Arabidopsis thaliana: one gene and its partners. The protein of the gene in region 2 interacts with the protein of the main gene of each other region in a pairwise test. Each region holds a gene or a part of one and is shown on either strand. Other genes may lie near its edges.

The links.
Region 1: the proteins of MYB56 (region 2) and AT2G24700 interact in a two-hybrid assay, tested with the Arabidopsis thaliana proteins (one large-scale study listed by BioGRID).
Region 3: the proteins of MYB56 (region 2) and GRP2 interact in a two-hybrid assay, tested with the Arabidopsis thaliana proteins (one large-scale study listed by BioGRID).
Region 4: the proteins of MYB56 (region 2) and AT5G44080 interact in a two-hybrid assay, tested with the Arabidopsis thaliana proteins (one large-scale study listed by BioGRID).

Annotation. Positions count from the first base shown.
Region 1 is NC_003071.7:10,512,361-10,517,148, reverse strand, and holds AT2G24700 (Transcriptional factor B3 family protein), read left to right. Parts: upstream 1-1,737; 5' UTR 1,738-1,860; coding exon 1,861-1,938; intron 1,939-2,013; coding exon 2,014-2,293; intron 2,294-2,368; coding exon 2,369-2,505; intron 2,506-2,599; coding exon 2,600-2,867; intron 2,868-2,934; coding exon 2,935-3,044; intron 3,045-3,132; coding exon 3,133-3,397; intron 3,398-3,481; coding exon 3,482-3,768; intron 3,769-3,857; coding exon 3,858-4,100; 3' UTR 4,101-4,265; downstream 4,266-4,788. Other genes in the region: GLR2.3 (glutamate receptor 2.3), read left to right, coding at 1-269.
Region 2 is NC_003076.8:5,875,322-5,879,852, forward strand, and holds MYB56 (myb domain protein 56), read left to right. Parts: upstream 1-1,791; 5' UTR 1,792-1,925; coding exon 1,926-2,307; intron 2,308-2,590; coding exon 2,591-3,016; intron 3,017-3,586; coding exon 3,587-3,750; 3' UTR 3,751-4,010; downstream 4,011-4,531. UniProt on the Arabidopsis thaliana protein: Acts as a cell-specific local repressor of quiescent center (QC) self-renewal by cell divisions in the primary root. Counteracts brassinosteroid (BR)-mediated cell division in the QC cells.
Region 3 is NC_003075.7:18,070,933-18,074,871, reverse strand, and holds GRP2 (glycine rich protein 2), read left to right. Parts: upstream 1-1,689; 5' UTR 1,690-2,020; coding exon 2,021-2,632; 3' UTR 2,633-3,423; downstream 3,424-3,939. Other genes in the region: AT4G38690 (PLC-like phosphodiesterases superfamily protein), read left to right, coding at 1-129; AT4G38670 (Pathogenesis-related thaumatin superfamily protein), read left to right, coding at 3,645-3,699, 3,797-3,939.
Region 4 is NC_003076.8:17,737,341-17,741,726, reverse strand, and holds AT5G44080 (Basic-leucine zipper (bZIP) transcription factor family protein), read left to right. Parts: upstream 1-1,777; 5' UTR 1,778-1,992; coding exon 1,993-2,940; 3' UTR 2,941-3,853; downstream 3,854-4,386. Other genes in the region: CAD1 (phytochelatin synthase 1 (PCS1)), read right to left, coding at 4,055-4,141.

The DNA of each region.
Region 1 (4,788 bases), on a different chromosome or scaffold from region 2:
GCTGTCCTGATCCAATTACTAATCCAGATCCAAATCCCTCTTTCACCTCTAGGCAGCTTGACATAGACAGTTTCTTGTTTCTGTTTGTTGGCGTGTTACTTGTGTGTGTTATGGCACTCGGAAATTTCACATATTGTTTCCTAGCGAAAGACCAGGTTTCGTACCTCGATAAGGTAGAGATGAGTCCGTGTTCATCAAGTCAACAAATGCCTGTCAAGAGGAAGACACAATTAAATATGTCTCAAGTTCATGACCAAGACAGTCTTTAATTTAACAAAAAAACATATGCTATTATTATACCAAACTATTGTACTTTTTTTTTCTTTTGAATGAAGAATTGTACTTTATTTTGTAAATAAGGATTTTCAGAAACAAATGACCCATTTAAGAGAGACTATCAAAGTTACAATAGAGGTAGATTTTATTACGTGTTATGCAAGACATTAAACCTAATGCTATAAATTCTTATGTGCTAACGACTAGTAGCATATTAACTTATCTGGAATTAGGGTTATACTTTTTCTTTTTTGGGTTATACTTATATGCAGTTAATATAATCTAAAGAAATTTTCACGTTTATGCTGAAAAAAAGATGTGGTCTCAGCGCAAAGTGAGATGTGGATTTCATAGTTTGACAATTAAGACATTTTAACATAGAAGTAGAAAATAGAAAGAATAAATATTAGAAACGAAAATAATTTGGATAATTGTAGTAATAGTGTTAGTTTAACCACTTTTTAATATACTTAAATGCATTCAAATGCAAATCTATTATTGTAGTAGGACAAAACCAAGTACAGGTGAATAACTGGATATATTGGTTTATTAAGATACAATTGTGTTTGTCCTGCTCTGCTTTATATCCGTAACTCCTCTGTTCTTCCATTCAGACCCAATACATATTGGTTTTCACTGGAAAAGGAGACAATAGATGGAACTGTTCACAAACAAAAGAAAAGATGGATATTTTGGTGCGTTGCGCTTTGTACTTTGTAGTGATTAGTTTGGATTTTTTCTTTTTTTGCTTTGTGGGGAATAAAGAGATAGCCTAGATGCACGTGATACGTATTCCTACAGTGCTACTGAATACTGATGTACAAATAGTTCCCTCTCGTGATTTTTGTTTGTGGTTTCAAGAGAAATGTTGCTTACATTGAAGATTGAACACACTATTATTTTAAGCCTTTTTTGCGTGTACTTAAAATATTCTTTTACATTGTTAAAAATACAAAACGTTTTTCAGTTTTACAATAAACTCACTTTTTGAAAAATATAAACGTAAATGCAAACAAAGAATCGAATTCTTATTCTTTTTGACAAAAACGAATCCACAACGTAACTAACTAATTTACTGTCAAAACCATATGATATTTTGATAGCAAACATGAATGTTTTCACTTCCTAAGATTTAATTTCTTGTAAACTATTTTTACATTATTATGGTACCTACGTGTTGAATTAAGCATATTTAGTTTCAGATCTTTTTCTTCTTCTTTTTTTCTTTCTTTTGGTTAAAGACCAATGTCTTCTCAAGATTTATTTTTCTCGTTCATTGATATTTGCTAAGTTTATTTGATGAATATTTTCCATAACCAATCAGAGTCTTTATGTTCAATCCCAACACTATTCTCAGTCAAAACTTGTTTTTTTCGAAAACAATATATAGTCTTTGGAAAAAGCTGATAAAGGTCTTTTTTAACATTGCTTTATAGAAAAAGCTGAGAAAGTTTCTTTGACGTTTTGTATAGAAAGCTGAGAAAGGTTATTTTTTTACATTACAGAAGTAAGGGATACAAAGTTGTTAGTTCATCTTCTCTCCGCTCAGAAGAAGAAAAACTTAAAAAAATTCAACGTCTGAATATGGCTAATCCACTTCTCTATTCTCCGATCAACCCACAATTCTTCCAACCACTTCTTCCCGGTTTCACCAACCACCTGGTACTCTGTTTCTCTATACTCTCTCCGACCAGTTAAGTTACTTCTGTTTGTAACTCATCTAGCATGCTGTTTCAGGACATTCCTGTGGCGTTCTTCTTGAAGTACTTAGTGGGAACTAACGTAGGAAAAACGGCTGAGCTCAGATCAGATGCATCGGAGATGACATGGAAAGTGAAGATAGACGGCCGGAGACTCTCTAATGGTTGGGAAGATTTCACAATCGCACATGATCTCCGAGTTGGTGACATTGTTGTTTTCAGACAAGAAGGAGAGTTAGTGTTCCATGTCACAGCTTTAGGACCAAGTTGCTGTGAGATTCAATACGGAGAAGATACCCTTGAAGAGGATAAAATTGGTAACCTTAGTTTCATATTAAATATCATTAGCACATTTAGAATGAGTCTAAGAATATTACTTAATCTATCAACAGAGAAACTTTGTGGTACGGAGAATGTTTCAAGTAAGAAAAAGAGTCTAAAGAGAGAAGCTGAGTCTGCACCAGACAATTCACTAGATTCTTGTTTTGTGGCCACTGTCACGGGTTCGAATCTAAAGCGCGATACATTGGTATGTTACTTCCATATTACTCATTACAGTAATTTTTATGTTATTGTATATTCTTGATAACTCTATCTAACTTGGCTTGTGGCGGCATTTGCAGTATATTCCGAAAGAGTTTGCATTGTCAAATGGTCTGATGAACAAATATCAGATTGTGTTAATGAATGAAGAAGGAGAATCATGGAAGATAGACTTGAGACGCGAGGCATATAATTACGGCCGGTTTTACATGAGAAGAGGCTGGAGAAGTTTCTGTATTGCTAATGGGAAGAAACCTGGAGACGTTTTTGCATTCAAATTGGTCAAAAATGAAGAAACACCTATGATACAGTTGTTCCCTATGACCATTGAAGATTTAGACAAACTTCGTAAGTTAATTTTCATAATCCGTTGGTTATTGAGAAAAATCTCAATCAGATTCTATAATTGATACAGAGAGTCTTCCAAGACACAAGATTCGAAAAACAGAAGCAGCTCCTTCTTCACCGGACCTTTCTTCTTTTGTAGCCACTGTCACGGCTTCAAATCTAAGCCGAGATAGACTGGTTATGATACTCCTGACTTACATATATTGATTTTGATTTGACTGAGAGGTGTTTTAATGATATTCATGGTGACTGTACTTGACTGCAGTATCTTCCGAAGACGTTCATTATGTCAAATGGTTTGTTGAAGAAATTTCAGATGTGTCTAATGAATGAAGAGGGAGAATCATGGACGATAGATGTGAAACATGAGGCACATACAGGCCGGTTTTTAACGATAAGAGGTTGGAGAAGATTCTGTGTGGCTAATGGGAAGAAACCAGGAGACTTGCTCAAATTCAAATTAGTCCATAACGAAGAAACACCTGTGCTCCAGTTGTTACCCTTGAACAGTGAAGATCTACACAAACTTAGTAAGTTGTTTATGCTTTATTCTTTCAAGAAACAAAAATATTGAAATAAAATTGAATAACAAGAAGCACTTTCTTCCTCTGCAGATCCTAGCAATGACACAAGGCATGGACAGAGTTTAAAAGTTACCAAAAAAGAGTTTCTTGGCATGGAAGCCACAGAAAATGAGTTTCTTGGGGAAGAAGTTTACTGTAATGACTCCTTTAAAGCTAGCGAGAAAGATACTCTTCCTTTTGCTGAACCTATCAATGAAGATATAAGGCAAGGACAATGTTCACAAACTATTAAACAAGAATATGTTTCCACAGAAGAGAAAAACTCAACAAGCCAAAACCGATTTGTGACCTTAACACTTACACATTCAAGTAAACTTGTAAGTTTCACAAGAAAACTCTGTTTTTTTCTTGTTTTTTTTTTTCCACTTAATACTCTCGATATATAATCTGATGATGGTATCTACAGAATCTTCCGTTTGAATTCATGAAGCGGAATGGAATCAAAAAGGCGGGGAAGATAACGATGGTTGATAGATACGATGCAAAATGGCGTACTTCACTACTGATGGACAAGATCGGAACAATGAGTTTAGGAAGAGGTTCAAAAGGTTTCTGCGAGGTTAATGGTGTTGAGATGAATGAGTCGTTTATCTTGGAGTTGATTTGGGAAGACACAGTTCCTCTTCTTAAGTTTTGTTCCAAAGTTTGAGAACAATATTAAGAATGTCTAGGATCATCGCTCAAATAAACTTCTTTCCTTCTATGGTTTAATTTTCATGTTAAAAAATGCCGTTTAAATCATCATTAATTCAGATAATATTGGTTTACTAAACAAGAATCGTTAAAGATTTTATATAATTATTTTTGGGGGTCACTAAACATCTTGATTGTCGACACCAATCATAAACTTCATACTTCAGTATGTAGTAGAGATAGACTTCTAATTAAAGGGCTATCTGCTATACATGTAGCAAAAAATCAAAATTAACATCTTATACTGTATATCTTTTTTTATCATCATATATTTTTATCTTTATATTTTACTTTAAATGATGTGAAAATCATAGATAAAATATAGGAAAATGTAACTTATATTAAAGTGAAGAGTCATTTATATTAAAGTGAAGAGGAAGAAAACAGAAACAAGTTGTAAGATATTAAGCCATATATTGCAGAAACAAAAAATGGACAAAAATCCTTACTTATTTTACTATCAAATGATTTGATATTTCTTTGTATTTTGTTTAATGTGAAGAAAATCAAGGGAAAATCTCTCTCATTTATAGTAAAGTGAAGAGGAAAAAAACAGAAACAAATTGTAAGATATTATATCATAAATTGCAGACACAAAAATCCTTAATTATATTATTATCAAATGATTTGATCTTTCTTTGTAT
Region 2 (4,531 bases):
ATTCTTCATTTATTATTGTTGAATTTAATTCTAGTTCGAGTTCAGTTACATGATTTCTCTCTTTAATCTCTAGTATTTTAATCCATCAAAATTATGTGGTTGCATACTCGATCGAGTTTAGTACAATTACTAAAATATGTAGCTTTGTTTAGTCATATCAAGACTATAGTAAGTTGTTACGCATGAAAGATAATTATTACATTCAAACGAATGACCACTCAATTCTTATATCAAAAAGATACAAAAAACTAAAGTCTACAACTTATAGGTTCAATGGGAGCATAAATAGTCCATATCATTGAATAATAATGGTCTTCAATAGAGTTGGTTGTTCAATTATTATTTTTGGTTTATAAGAAATGAATTGAACTTTTGTTTGTCACCATTCACATTTTCTTCTCTTTTTTGTACTTTTAGTTTTCCTAAAAATTAAAAAAACTATGTTCCCTTCGTACCTAAAACTTACTTTAAAATAACCAATTTGATGATAGTTTTTTTTAAAAAACTTCAACAAAGATTATATATTTCATCCTGAAACAAAAATTACAGCAAAATTTAAATTTAAACTAGTAGCAAAAAATATAGGATGTGCATATGTTTTCTGTTTGCCACGTCTGTTTTCCATTAAATGTACGCACAACATTGTTTGAGTTCAATTAACTATTTAAGTAATAAACAAAAACAATGCTTGAATTTCACTGAATATAGTATATAAGTAAAAATGTATACACCCCAAACGACGTCGAACCCATCGTTCAAAAGATATTGAAGTACTTGAACTAGTTGTTGAGCTAATCATCATATTACTTTATAATTTAACTACACAAAACGAGTTCTTTGAAAGATGCGAATATATATATACACACTTATACGTTATGGAGAGAACAGAAAGCTCATAAAAGCAATTTATTTCTCTCCCTTTAAGATCTTTTCTTGCTTTGTGTCCGAAACAGACAAAAATTGATTCTGTTGTTTTTTCCCATAATTAACTCACACACACACACTTAACGTACGTGCAATATCTGTATGTGTGCATAGTATATACTATAGCCACACGAGCGGTTCAAAAATGTTTTTTGGAGTTTCCGAGACTGTTGAGACTGTGGGGCCTATGGTCATCGAACCCTCCCACACGCACGAGCGGGTCTCGTTTTGCATGCATCTACACTACACGTACCCACCGACTTTTCCAAATCCCTTACTTTTGCACGTGTAGAGAGAGAGAGCTTTGTACTGAAAGTATCTCATTATTCGAAATTTTTCGTGTAAGAGTAAAAACTAAATCGCAACGTACGTGAAGGAAAACGTGAACCTTGAATATTTAATGTTTTCGTGCGGTTTCATTTTAACTATTTAATTAACACAATATTAGTACAATAACAAGCAGCTCTTATGAAGATAGTGATGAAAAATTGTTATAGATCTATCTTGGAATTTTAATGATCGAATTTCGATTTTGTACGACCACCATCGAGGCATCGACTATAAATATAGTTAAAATGTGGTTGCTGAAAAAAAAAAAAAAATGATAAATAAAATGAAACCGCACGTAATTGTATAAAACCATTAGCATGGGATTATTAGGCCACAATTTGGTAATTAACACTTGTAATTCATTTGAATATGCTTTTACAAAACTTTCCCTTCAATTTCTTTTGGTGTGTGAATAAACAGCTATCAATTTTGTTTTTCATGTACATTAAATAACCACTCTGCACTCATCATCATTTTCTAAAATATTCTTCTATATATATTAACTAGCTTGCAAATAAATGTAAATAAAAATATAAATTTCAATAATTTTTTTTAGAGAATCTCTCTTTCCTCTTCCACCATATAAACAGTGAAAAGCCATTCAAGTGCTCTCTCCCTCTATCTCTCTTCTATTTTTAGTTTCTCTTCCCTTAATCCCTAAACCCAGAAACATGAATCCAAATCTCCTTGAGAAAGATCTAAGAGGTAAGGAAACTACAAATGGGTCAATAAGATACAAAGAAGCAAACAACTTCAGATCTCTACCAAACTCACACACTGCTGCTTGTAAAACTTCACTCAACAACCCCTCTATCTCTAGAAACCATCCTCACAACAAATCAGCCTCAGTCTTGGAGTCGGAAGATGAACATGGGAACGAGAGAGGTGAAAACGAAAAGAGTTTAAGAATGAGGGGCAAAAGTGGAATTAACACAAAAGTATGCTCACGAGGACACTGGAGACCAACAGAAGATGCTAAACTCAAGGAGCTTGTTGCCCAGTTTGGTCCCCAAAACTGGAACTTGATTTCTAACCACCTTCTTGGTAGATCAGGTACATTTATTTTACTTAAAATTCTTATTACTTAATTATTTCCTTCACTTTTGTTACTCCAAATTCCGCAAATTTAACTATTTTTATGTAGAAGAAAAATAAGTAAATATATTTAAAAACTTTGGTGAGTTGAGTTTCCAAAGTTATTAGGCATTTTCGTAATTGTGTTTGGATTTTTTTAAAAATAGTTTTTACAAGTTAGACTAAGTTGTATAAGGCATAATGACATAATGCTTGATAGTAACTAATTTTTATAATGTGAGGGACACTTCTTTGACTACAGGCAAGAGTTGTAGATTGAGATGGTTTAACCAACTAGACCCAAGGATTAACAAGAGAGCCTTCACGGAGGAAGAAGAGTTTAGGCTGTTAGCAGCTCATCGAGCCTATGGCAACAAGTGGGCTTTGATCTCTCGTCTCTTTCCAGGTCGTACCGATAACGCTGTCAAGAACCATTGGCACGTCATCATGGCTCGACGGACTAGAGAAAGCCAAAGACAACGTCAACAGCCTCCTCCGACGTTGTCAAGAGACGCTGAAATGACGGTTTCGTCCTCTTGCCGCTACAATCAAGGTAAGTTCATCAATGAAGAAGATGACGACGACGATGTGTCAGCTGTCTCTACTTGTACGACGGAGCTCTCTCTCACTCCGCCTTCTTCAGCTTACCAGCCTCGCTTCTTTAATTACGATAGTACCCTTGCATCAGGTAACATTTTATTTATTTGCTTAAATATTATGTTTACTATGTTTTTTTTTTTTCTCTATTGAAAATATATTATTTTCATGACCCAAGACATTAAAAGTATAGAAACTTGGAATGTTTTTTTTCGTTTTCGGCTTTCTTGAGAAGTGTTTTCGTGAATCTAACTATAATGATCTCGGTCGGTTGGTCGAGATCGTATTGCAATCTTTATTGGGTGTATCGTTGATCATGATCGGTTTATACTTTAACCGGTACTTCCAAATATCATTTGTGGTCTAAATTTAGCTTATTAGATTCCAGTCTTGTTAATTTTTGAATGTTCAAAGCATATAAAATGATAATTTAGGCCGACATGTTGTATAACCGACGACGAGTGACCACTTCCTACACTTTTTCATATACATGGCAATAATTATAAATTTGAATGACTAGAAAAGAAAGAAACTGTTTTTACATCGTAAGAGTACCTATAGGCATAATAATATAAGGAGGTGAAGTACTATTGTCACGTTACTATTTCAATATAACAAAATTTCACGTGGGTGCTGAGAACTTATTTTTCTAATTTTGCAGGCAAAGATGGTCAGTGTGTGCAGAGAGCAGAAGTAAATGGCATATATGGTAAAAAGATGGACCATCAAAATCACCACACAATCTCAGTCAGTGAAAGAAAGGTGGAGATGAAGATGAGGAGTGGCTATTACTACTTTGATTTTCTTGGAGTTGGAGCTTCCTGATTAATTAGTTGCAGAGCTAGGGTTCAATGCTGAGGAATTGTGAGATAAGAAATGGCTTTAGTTTCTTCTATTTTTCCTGGTTAATTAGGCATGTTTGTTTAACATCTTAATTTGGGTTTTGGAAGAAGTAAGCGGTATGAGGGAAAACTGAAAACAAAAACAAAACCTAGAAGTAAAATAAAAAGTTGAATATATAATCAACCTCTTTTCTGTAGAATTAGAATAAGTGTTCATAAAATATTGCAATTTTCCTTACTCACACACGCAAATTTAACATAGATTATGAAACAATAGCAGTAACTAAAACCAGCGAGTTATTTTTGTTGGTAAATTACAAGCTTTGATCATAAACCTATTGCATTTTATAGTGCATTACATGAAGGATGTTATCTGCTATTTTTGGAATGTCACATATATAAATAATTCAGGAATTTCTAAGTAAATAATCAACGTGGGAAATGAGTTCTTGTTTAAATTTAAAATCTCAATTACTCGGCTCGGCTCGGATCCCTATTATCGGATACCAGCTACATTGTTAAGTTGGGCCTAGGACTACAAAAGAAACCCATATATAGACGTACCTTTCATTTACAAAGGGTCCAAAAAGCTCACATAGAAGTGGGCTTACTCGTTTCTTGTCGTAATTTTGAACTTAACCCTACCCTTCTTTCTCTGTTCAAAAAAAAAAAAAAAAAAAACCCTACCCTTCTTTCATTATTATATCAAGTTCACAAAATTGACATCCCCAAGAAGAAAAAATGGTAACTAGCGATCTGTGTCG
Region 3 (3,939 bases), on a different chromosome or scaffold from region 2:
TTCATCATAGAGTGTGTAAAAAGAGGATGTGCTGATAAACTGCAGATATTCTCAACTGATTTCATAGATAATGAATTTGTTGATGCTTGCGTTGGGCTCACCTTTGCGAGAGCTGAAGGTAAGGCCTGAGGAATGAGCGTGTGGAGACAGACTTTGTGTATCTATTTTGAAGGAAAAGAATCAGAACATGGTTGATGTGTTTTAGGGTTGCTTGTGTATAAGAGAACATGTGAGTGTGTATTTGTATGTGTGTGTGATTTACGAGTGTATATTCCAATTCATTACAACTTATTTGAATCCTGATACAATTGCGAGATATCCAAACTCTTCATTACTATTAATTTCTGATACTTTTGCAGATGTTGTAGTTGATAGACAGGCAAAACAGAAGGAAGAAGTATACAGTTGATGGTAAAATCTAGTTTTAACAAGTGAAAGAGAGCTGCTAACCTGAGAGATGACTATATTTCTGCAGCAATGCCCCTTTTTATTACACACTACTGTGATCTTCAAGAACAAAAAGATAATAGAATCAGTTATGCTAGAATTCATATCAGTAGCTAATGACACAATGCATCTCTATAATTTCATTATTTGATTATATCTATAAACTGAGATGATGGAAACATGGTGCAAAATCCTAATAATTTGAGATTAGATTTCTTCTCAAGACTTGAAACACAAAAGAAGAAGAAGAAGAGCATTTGATCCACAAGAGTGATTGAGCCGAGCCAAATTATTCTCCCTGCTGAGATCGGCAGCGAGACCACTCTTCTAGACTCTAGACATGGGATGCAGAGAAACCAACTTTTTTTATTTAAACGGCTGCGTTTTAAGTCATGTTCTCAAATGATACCAGTTTTTTTTTTTTTTTTTTTTTTGCTAAGCACAAGTTTGATTTGTTGTTTGGCACTTTACGATAACATCATTTTACTCCTATACTTTCTCACGGTAAGTGATTAAGATAAAAACATGCACATTTTTCGAATTATAAGCTAAATTTAAAGGGATCTATTTTCTATCTCTCAATAATTTTTAAATTTTACTCATTTTCTATTTCTCTTATAAATTAATTACTTGGTAATTTAGTTTTGTAATCGATACTCAAAAATCGATATCCAACAAAGGACAATCTCTTTGCGGTCAATAGTCTTCTCAAATTACTTCATACAATTATCATACTGTTTGGTAAAATTTGTGAATCTGCCTCATAAAATGTACGTGGAAAGTGGAACAACAGTTAATGCTTATTTTGACCACAAGATTGAGAAAATTTTGAAAAGAGTATATTGACCAGTTGCTGACGTTGCATGTCATTCTTTAATGTTGTTGTTGACTGCAACAAAAAATAAAATACAACATACAAAGTAAAAAAATAAAAATAAATTAATTGATCTTTGTTTCTCTATTCCCCAGAGAGCTAGCTTTTCAGATCTAAAATCAGAATCTGACGGCTGATATCCCTCGTGAAAAACACCCCAACCGTCCAGATGCAACTGCTTGCTGGGCCAATGATCCATTCTCTTTCCCGAAATGGATTAATCAATTTAAGCCTTATCACATGCTGGCCCATTTTCTAACTCCTCTTTTCTTTTTTAACTTACTTTTCTTTCTTTTAATATTTTAGTTGCAGATTCATTTTCGAAATCAACGAAATTTATGTTTTTTTAATTTTCTGGGTATCTTAATCGCGAGATTTTTTATTTTAATATCACGCTCGAATATACAATTCGGAATGTGCAGATGTTTTTTTTGAAGGCAATTTAGAAAAATAGACAAAAATCGAACAAACATATATAGAAATAGAGATCTAAATAAAAACATTTATTTTATTTCCTCTTGGAAACAAGGAAAAAATGAATTGGGGTGGGTGACGTGGCAGTCATACCCTTGCCACACCCTTCCTATACGCATATAAACAGCAGCTGCGAGGAGAGAGAGATTTCAGAGTATTTTCTAGGGTTTCGTTTTTTTTAAAGATTTAGAGAAAAAAGTGAGTTATTAAGAGATTCCAATCAAAATGAGCGGAGACAACGGCGGTGGTGAGAGGCGCAAAGGCTCCGTCAAGTGGTTTGATACCCAGAAGGGTTTCGGCTTCATCACTCCTGACGACGGTGGCGACGATCTCTTCGTTCACCAGTCCTCCATCAGATCTGAGGGTTTCCGTAGCCTCGCTGCCGAAGAAGCCGTAGAGTTCGAGGTTGAGATCGACAACAACAACCGTCCCAAGGCCATCGATGTTTCTGGACCCGACGGCGCTCCCGTCCAAGGAAACAGCGGTGGTGGTTCATCTGGCGGACGCGGCGGTTTCGGTGGAGGAAGAGGAGGTGGACGCGGATCTGGAGGTGGATACGGCGGTGGCGGTGGTGGATACGGAGGAAGAGGAGGTGGTGGTCGAGGAGGCAGCGACTGCTACAAGTGTGGTGAGCCCGGTCACATGGCGAGAGACTGTTCTGAAGGCGGTGGAGGTTACGGAGGAGGCGGCGGTGGCTACGGAGGTGGAGGCGGATACGGCGGAGGAGGTGGTGGTTACGGAGGTGGTGGCCGTGGAGGTGGTGGCGGCGGGGGAAGCTGCTACAGCTGTGGCGAGTCGGGACATTTCGCCAGGGATTGCACCAGCGGTGGACGTTAAAACCAACGCCGGTTACGCGGTGGAGAAGAGTGAGTTGGTTATCTCACAAGTGATCGGTTCTTTCTCCCGCCGCCTTCTATCTCTCTATTATCCACTTTTTGCTTATTATGATGGATCTCTATCTTTGTTAGTTGGTTTTTTCTTGATGGTTTCGGATTAGGACTCTTCTTTTGGTTTTGCTACTTATGGTTGGTTTTATTTATGGTACTTGTGATATGGGTGAAATGCTCTACTTGTTGCTCTGTTTCAAGTGTTCATAATATGCGAACAAATATTCTGGGTTTTGTTTCAGTCATCTGAATGAATCGTAAGATCTGGATACTTAAATCTTGAGAGATCATCGTTTTATGGTTGAATTATTTATGGATTATGTAACGATTCCCATAGATACAAAATCTATCTGCTCATGTTTTGCATTTAATGGCATTTAAGTTCCATGGACTGGAAGGAATTGAATACTAATTGCAGTCTCCATCATTCTCATTATTAGACTTTTTATCTTCGATGTCGTTTGTATTTTCAATCTTTTGTATATCTTCAGAAAATGTAATCTTCTCAACTTCTTTCCACCGTTTCATCATGATCACACTGGCATTTTACTGTAGCTCACACGATTCGGATTGGATTAAGTAAATAAAAGCAGATATGGGAAGATTTTAGATCTGTTGTTGTTGTTGTTACCTTGGAAATCGGAGTGCTCTCTATAAATTATCAACTTTTATCATGTTTGAACTTTCATGGTCCACAACCAAAATACCACGTGCGCATCGCTAAATGGATAACCGTAAAACCGGTTAATTTTCGGTTCACCAACCCAGTTTGGAACTAGAATAATCCGGTTTCGGTTTTATTGTTTCAAAGAAACAGAGAAGCTCTTCTCCTCTATCGACTACTCTCACTCTCTTTCTATTCTCTCTTCCGCCGCTTTTTCCATCGTTCGAAAGTAAAGTTGCTCGCTTTACTCGTTCAAGCATTCAACTTTAGAATCCGATCGAATCCTCCTGTAACAGCAATGATGAATCGGATCCTCTTGTTTATGATCCTGGCTTTTGTCTCATCTCTTTCAGGTCAATAATCGCTGTCTAATTCCTTGCTTCTTTATTGCTTGACTATCGAGTTTAACAATCTTTACACGATTTTGATTGAATTGGTTTCACATGGCAGAAGTTGAGCCAATTTCGTTCAAGATCACGAATCGTTGCCGGAACACGATATGGCCCGGTTTGCTCTCTGGTGCTAACTCAGCGCCGCTCCCCACAACTGGCTTTCGTCTCTCTAGAGGAAAATCTAAAACCGTCGCAATACCA
Region 4 (4,386 bases), about 12 Mb from region 2:
CAAACTTCAAAATTATCAAATCTTGCATGGGGCACGTGCCCCAGTACTCATACACTTGCGTCCGCCCCTGTTAGTCTCTACATACATTACACGCAAGTAAGTTAAAAAAAAATCAGTCGCCGATCGCTGACGTATCGATTACAAAAAGAACAGGGTCATTCCTTTTCAAAAGCCATAGAATTTGATAGCAAAAAACTTAGAGATAAGTTCAAGTAAACTGAGATAAAAGAGTAAAGAAGTACGTGTCCAGAAATCGCTGTCCACAGAGGTTTGTTCATTTAACTCTGTTAAGATGATCTTCTCGATTGGATTTTAAGGTTTTAAAATACAAGTCCAAGTTTGATTTTATATACAGAACATCTCAAGATATAACATAAATGATCACAAATTCAAGGGAAAAACGTGTCCAGAAGTCGTTGTCCACATAGGTATGTCCATTTAACTCTGTTAAGATGATTTTCTCGATTGGATTTTGAGATAAAAAGGTAAAGAAGAACGTGTCCAGAAATCGCTGTCCACAGAGGTCTGTTCATTTAGCTCTGTTAAGGTGATCTTCTCGATTGGATTTTGAGATAAAAAAGTAAAGAATAACGTGTCCAGAAATCGTTATCCACAGAGATCTGTTCATTTAACTCTGTTAAGATGATCTTCTCGATTTTGCTCCAAATTTTTAACATCTATATCTTAAACACAAACGTAGAAATCAGTCTAACATCTGTGAATGAAAATTAGTCTCAGATCTAAGCTAAAATCTCCATCAATTTCACAGAACCAGAACTAGCAACAAGGTTCTTCAATAAGTGAATCAACCATCAAAAAACTTATAAACCGTTTATGATGAACACATAAGATAACCAGATTTTCTGAATATATACAACTCAAATATAATCATGAATCAAATTCACAGAACATGGACTAAGCAACGAGTTCCATCAATTAGTGATTCGACAATTGCTATCAAATAATTCGAAGTCCACTGCGAGGCTTTAATCTCCAATTTAAGAGAATAATCTCGAATATGAAATTGGAGAAGAAAGACAAAGAATTAAAGAGCAAGTAATCAGATTAATTTTGCAACAAATAACAAAAACATAAAACAAAAACCAAACCGCAAATCCAATTCAATTATTCAACGAGTCATGTAACTAAATCAGCCAGATCGGGCAGATTCTCAAATTGATGGTTTGAAAAAATTCTCCTTCAAGTCAGATCAAAGCAGATGTGGAAAATTTAAAAAGCTGAATTTCAATCTCTCTTTCTCATAAAAGCGGATGATTTGTTGAAGATGGAAGAAGGAAAAAGGAAGAAATCTATTTTTTGGCTTGATTTTTGTTTATTTCTCGATAAAGTAAAAGAAAAAGAGAGAATAAATAAGAGAAGGAGAGAGATAAAACGATATGTGATTAGACGATAAATGAGTCAAATCATCTATTCAAAATGCTTTATCTTTAAAAAGTGTCTAACCATAAAAATGTTTTTTAAAAAATATCTTACAGTGTAATATTCTCTAAAAACAACTACCATCGAGTTAAAATAACGTCATTAAATTACCTTAACTAAATTCAAGTAATAATAGTCAAGTTATAATACATTAATGATCTTGAAATAATTGATGCAAGTTTGACAACTACAGTTTGATGACACGCGACAAAACTTCCCACGCGCTCCAAAAGTTAGAAAATCTTATCCATTTTGATTTTAACCTTATCCAATTTACCAAAATCAGCTCTTTTCTTTGGTAAGTCTAAAAATTAAAACTCACGTGCCACATATGCGCGTGGTATTTTAAAAAAGTAATAAAAGTCAATTAATTACAATTTGGGATAAATTACCAAAAGTTCTCAAAGGTTCTCAATTCGACACAAAAAGCCCTAATCTCTGCTTCTGTAAAGTTCAACATTTGGCGGAGTCAAAGAAACAGAGTGATTCTCTGATCCGATTCCGGCGAAAGAGGACGAAACAAACGGAACTTGTTCATCATCTTCTCCAGAAATGACGTCGTTTCAGGTGATGCGTTCTTCAAATTCGAGAAACTCGGATCTATCTCGTCGCATCTCTTCTGCTTCTACTTCTTCTTCGTCTATAAGACCTCAACAACAGTTCCGGCGAGATCTAACAAGTGTCGGTTACGGCGGAAGAAACGACGGATTATACAGTTCAAATTCGATGACGGTCGAAGGGATTTTACACGATACTTTCGCATCAGATCCACCAGCACCAACGGAATCTTCACTCTTAGATGCGTCGATAAATCTGATGGATGCTTCTCCAGCACCAATGGAGATAACAACAACGACGGCTTCTGATGTTGTGGATCACGGCGGAGGAACGGAGACGACGCGTGGTGGGAAGAGTGTTGATGAGATTTGGAGAGAGATGGTATCAGGAGAAGGTAAAGGGATGAAGGAAGAGACGTCGGAAGAGATAATGACGTTAGAGGATTTTCTAGCGAAAGCTGCGGTGGAAGACGAAACAGCGGTGACGGCGTCGGCGGAGGATTTGGATGTGAAGATTCCGGTGACGAATTACGGATTCGATCATTCTGCACCGCCGCATAATCCGTTTCAGATGATTGATAAAGTAGAAGGATCAATAGTTGCGTTTGGGAATGGTTTAGATGTTTACGGAGGAGGAGCTAGAGGGAAGAGAGCGAGAGTGATGGTTGAGCCATTGGATAAAGCAGCTGCACAGAGACAGAGAAGGATGATTAAGAATCGTGAATCTGCAGCTAGGTCTAGAGAGAGGAAACAAGCTTATCAAGTTGAGTTAGAAGCTTTGGCTGCGAAGCTTGAGGAAGAGAATGAGTTGCTTTCTAAGGAGATTGAAGATAAGAGGAAAGAGAGATACCAGAAGTTGATGGAGTTTGTGATTCCTGTTGTTGAGAAACCGAAGCAGCAGCCACCACGGTTTTTACGCAGGATTCGGTCTTTGGAATGGTGATAAGAGGTATAGACTTTTGAGGATTTTAGGGTCTTAATGTTACTTACTTTGTGTATGTGTGTGTGAGAGTTGATTCATAATCTGCAGTAGAGTGTAATGATTATGGTTAATAACTTATATATTATATTAGATTGCATATGTTATTGGTTTTGCTGAGATTGATCTTATTTAGGCTGATCATAGTGAAGAGGGTACCAATGGAAACGAGATTCTTCATTTTGTTCTGAAAGATCTGGATTTTGGTCCTTATCCATGTCTGTGGAGGTAAAGCGAACAGAAGTGCAGTGATGACATCGTTTCCTGCTATGTACTTTGCTTCTGGACCATACTCAGAACCTTTGGTGACAGATTGGGTTGACGGCACCAATAGGCCAACCTCTTGTTCATTATTGGTATTAACTACCATCCCTGCTGTCACTTTAGCTTCCTCAACCCCAGGCATCAATGCATTTAACAGAACTATCTCGACAATAGAAGTCTTTCGATGAGCTTCCAGATAAGATAAGAGCTCCTGAAGTTAAGAACTTTCTGACGTGCTCCAACAGTTACAGTTCCATGCACTTGTGTCACTGCATCTCGCTGTGACCAGAGATTAGATAATCAAGTCAAGTGAAGATATTGATGGCCACAATGAACATTTAAGTAGGAGAATGAGATTTGAAAATCTCTCTGAATCATACATAGAATAAAGAGATTTTCTAAGAATCAAAACCATATCTCTGTCAGTATTTATAGCCACTGATCGGTGAAAAAGTGACCAGATCCAGTCTGCAATAGGATCTGTTAGAATCCGGATTCAAAATTTGACTGTCTAATACGAATGATCCTTAGCAAAACAGTGTACACAGTTGGGACTAAGGGATACTGTTGTTTTGAATGTAAGCCTTTGGTACTTATTTGTGGATAGTGGATTCATAATCTGCATTTGAGTGTGATGAAATATGATTCTAGGATTCTTAACTTATTGTGATTAACAATTTATAGAATGCAAGTTACATATATCTCTCATTGCAAATAGAGTTTGAATCGTACAGAGAATAAAGAGACTTTCTAACAATTAAGTGTTGAGAACGTGGGATTCAAATGGGGAAGAGAGAGGATTTGGGACAATGAACTAATAGGCAGGAGCAGCGAGATCATCCTCTTCCTTGTTCTCTTGGCATCGTTTTAGCAGCTGAAGTTGCCGTCGAAGATGCAATACCTGCATTTACACCAAATTCACCACGTTACTCATCTGCTTCACAGATTCATTTCACCAAGTACTCATTTAGATTCGGCATTTGATTTAGCTATATCTAAGGATGAACTCGAAAATAGTCATTGTCAATCTCAACTTAGATTAAGTTATTTGTTTCTTTTCCAAAAGACTTATATATCTCAAGTACAAAGATCCCATTTTCCACTAGAGAGAGAACCGTGACTCTTGATGATTACCGATAAATAGAA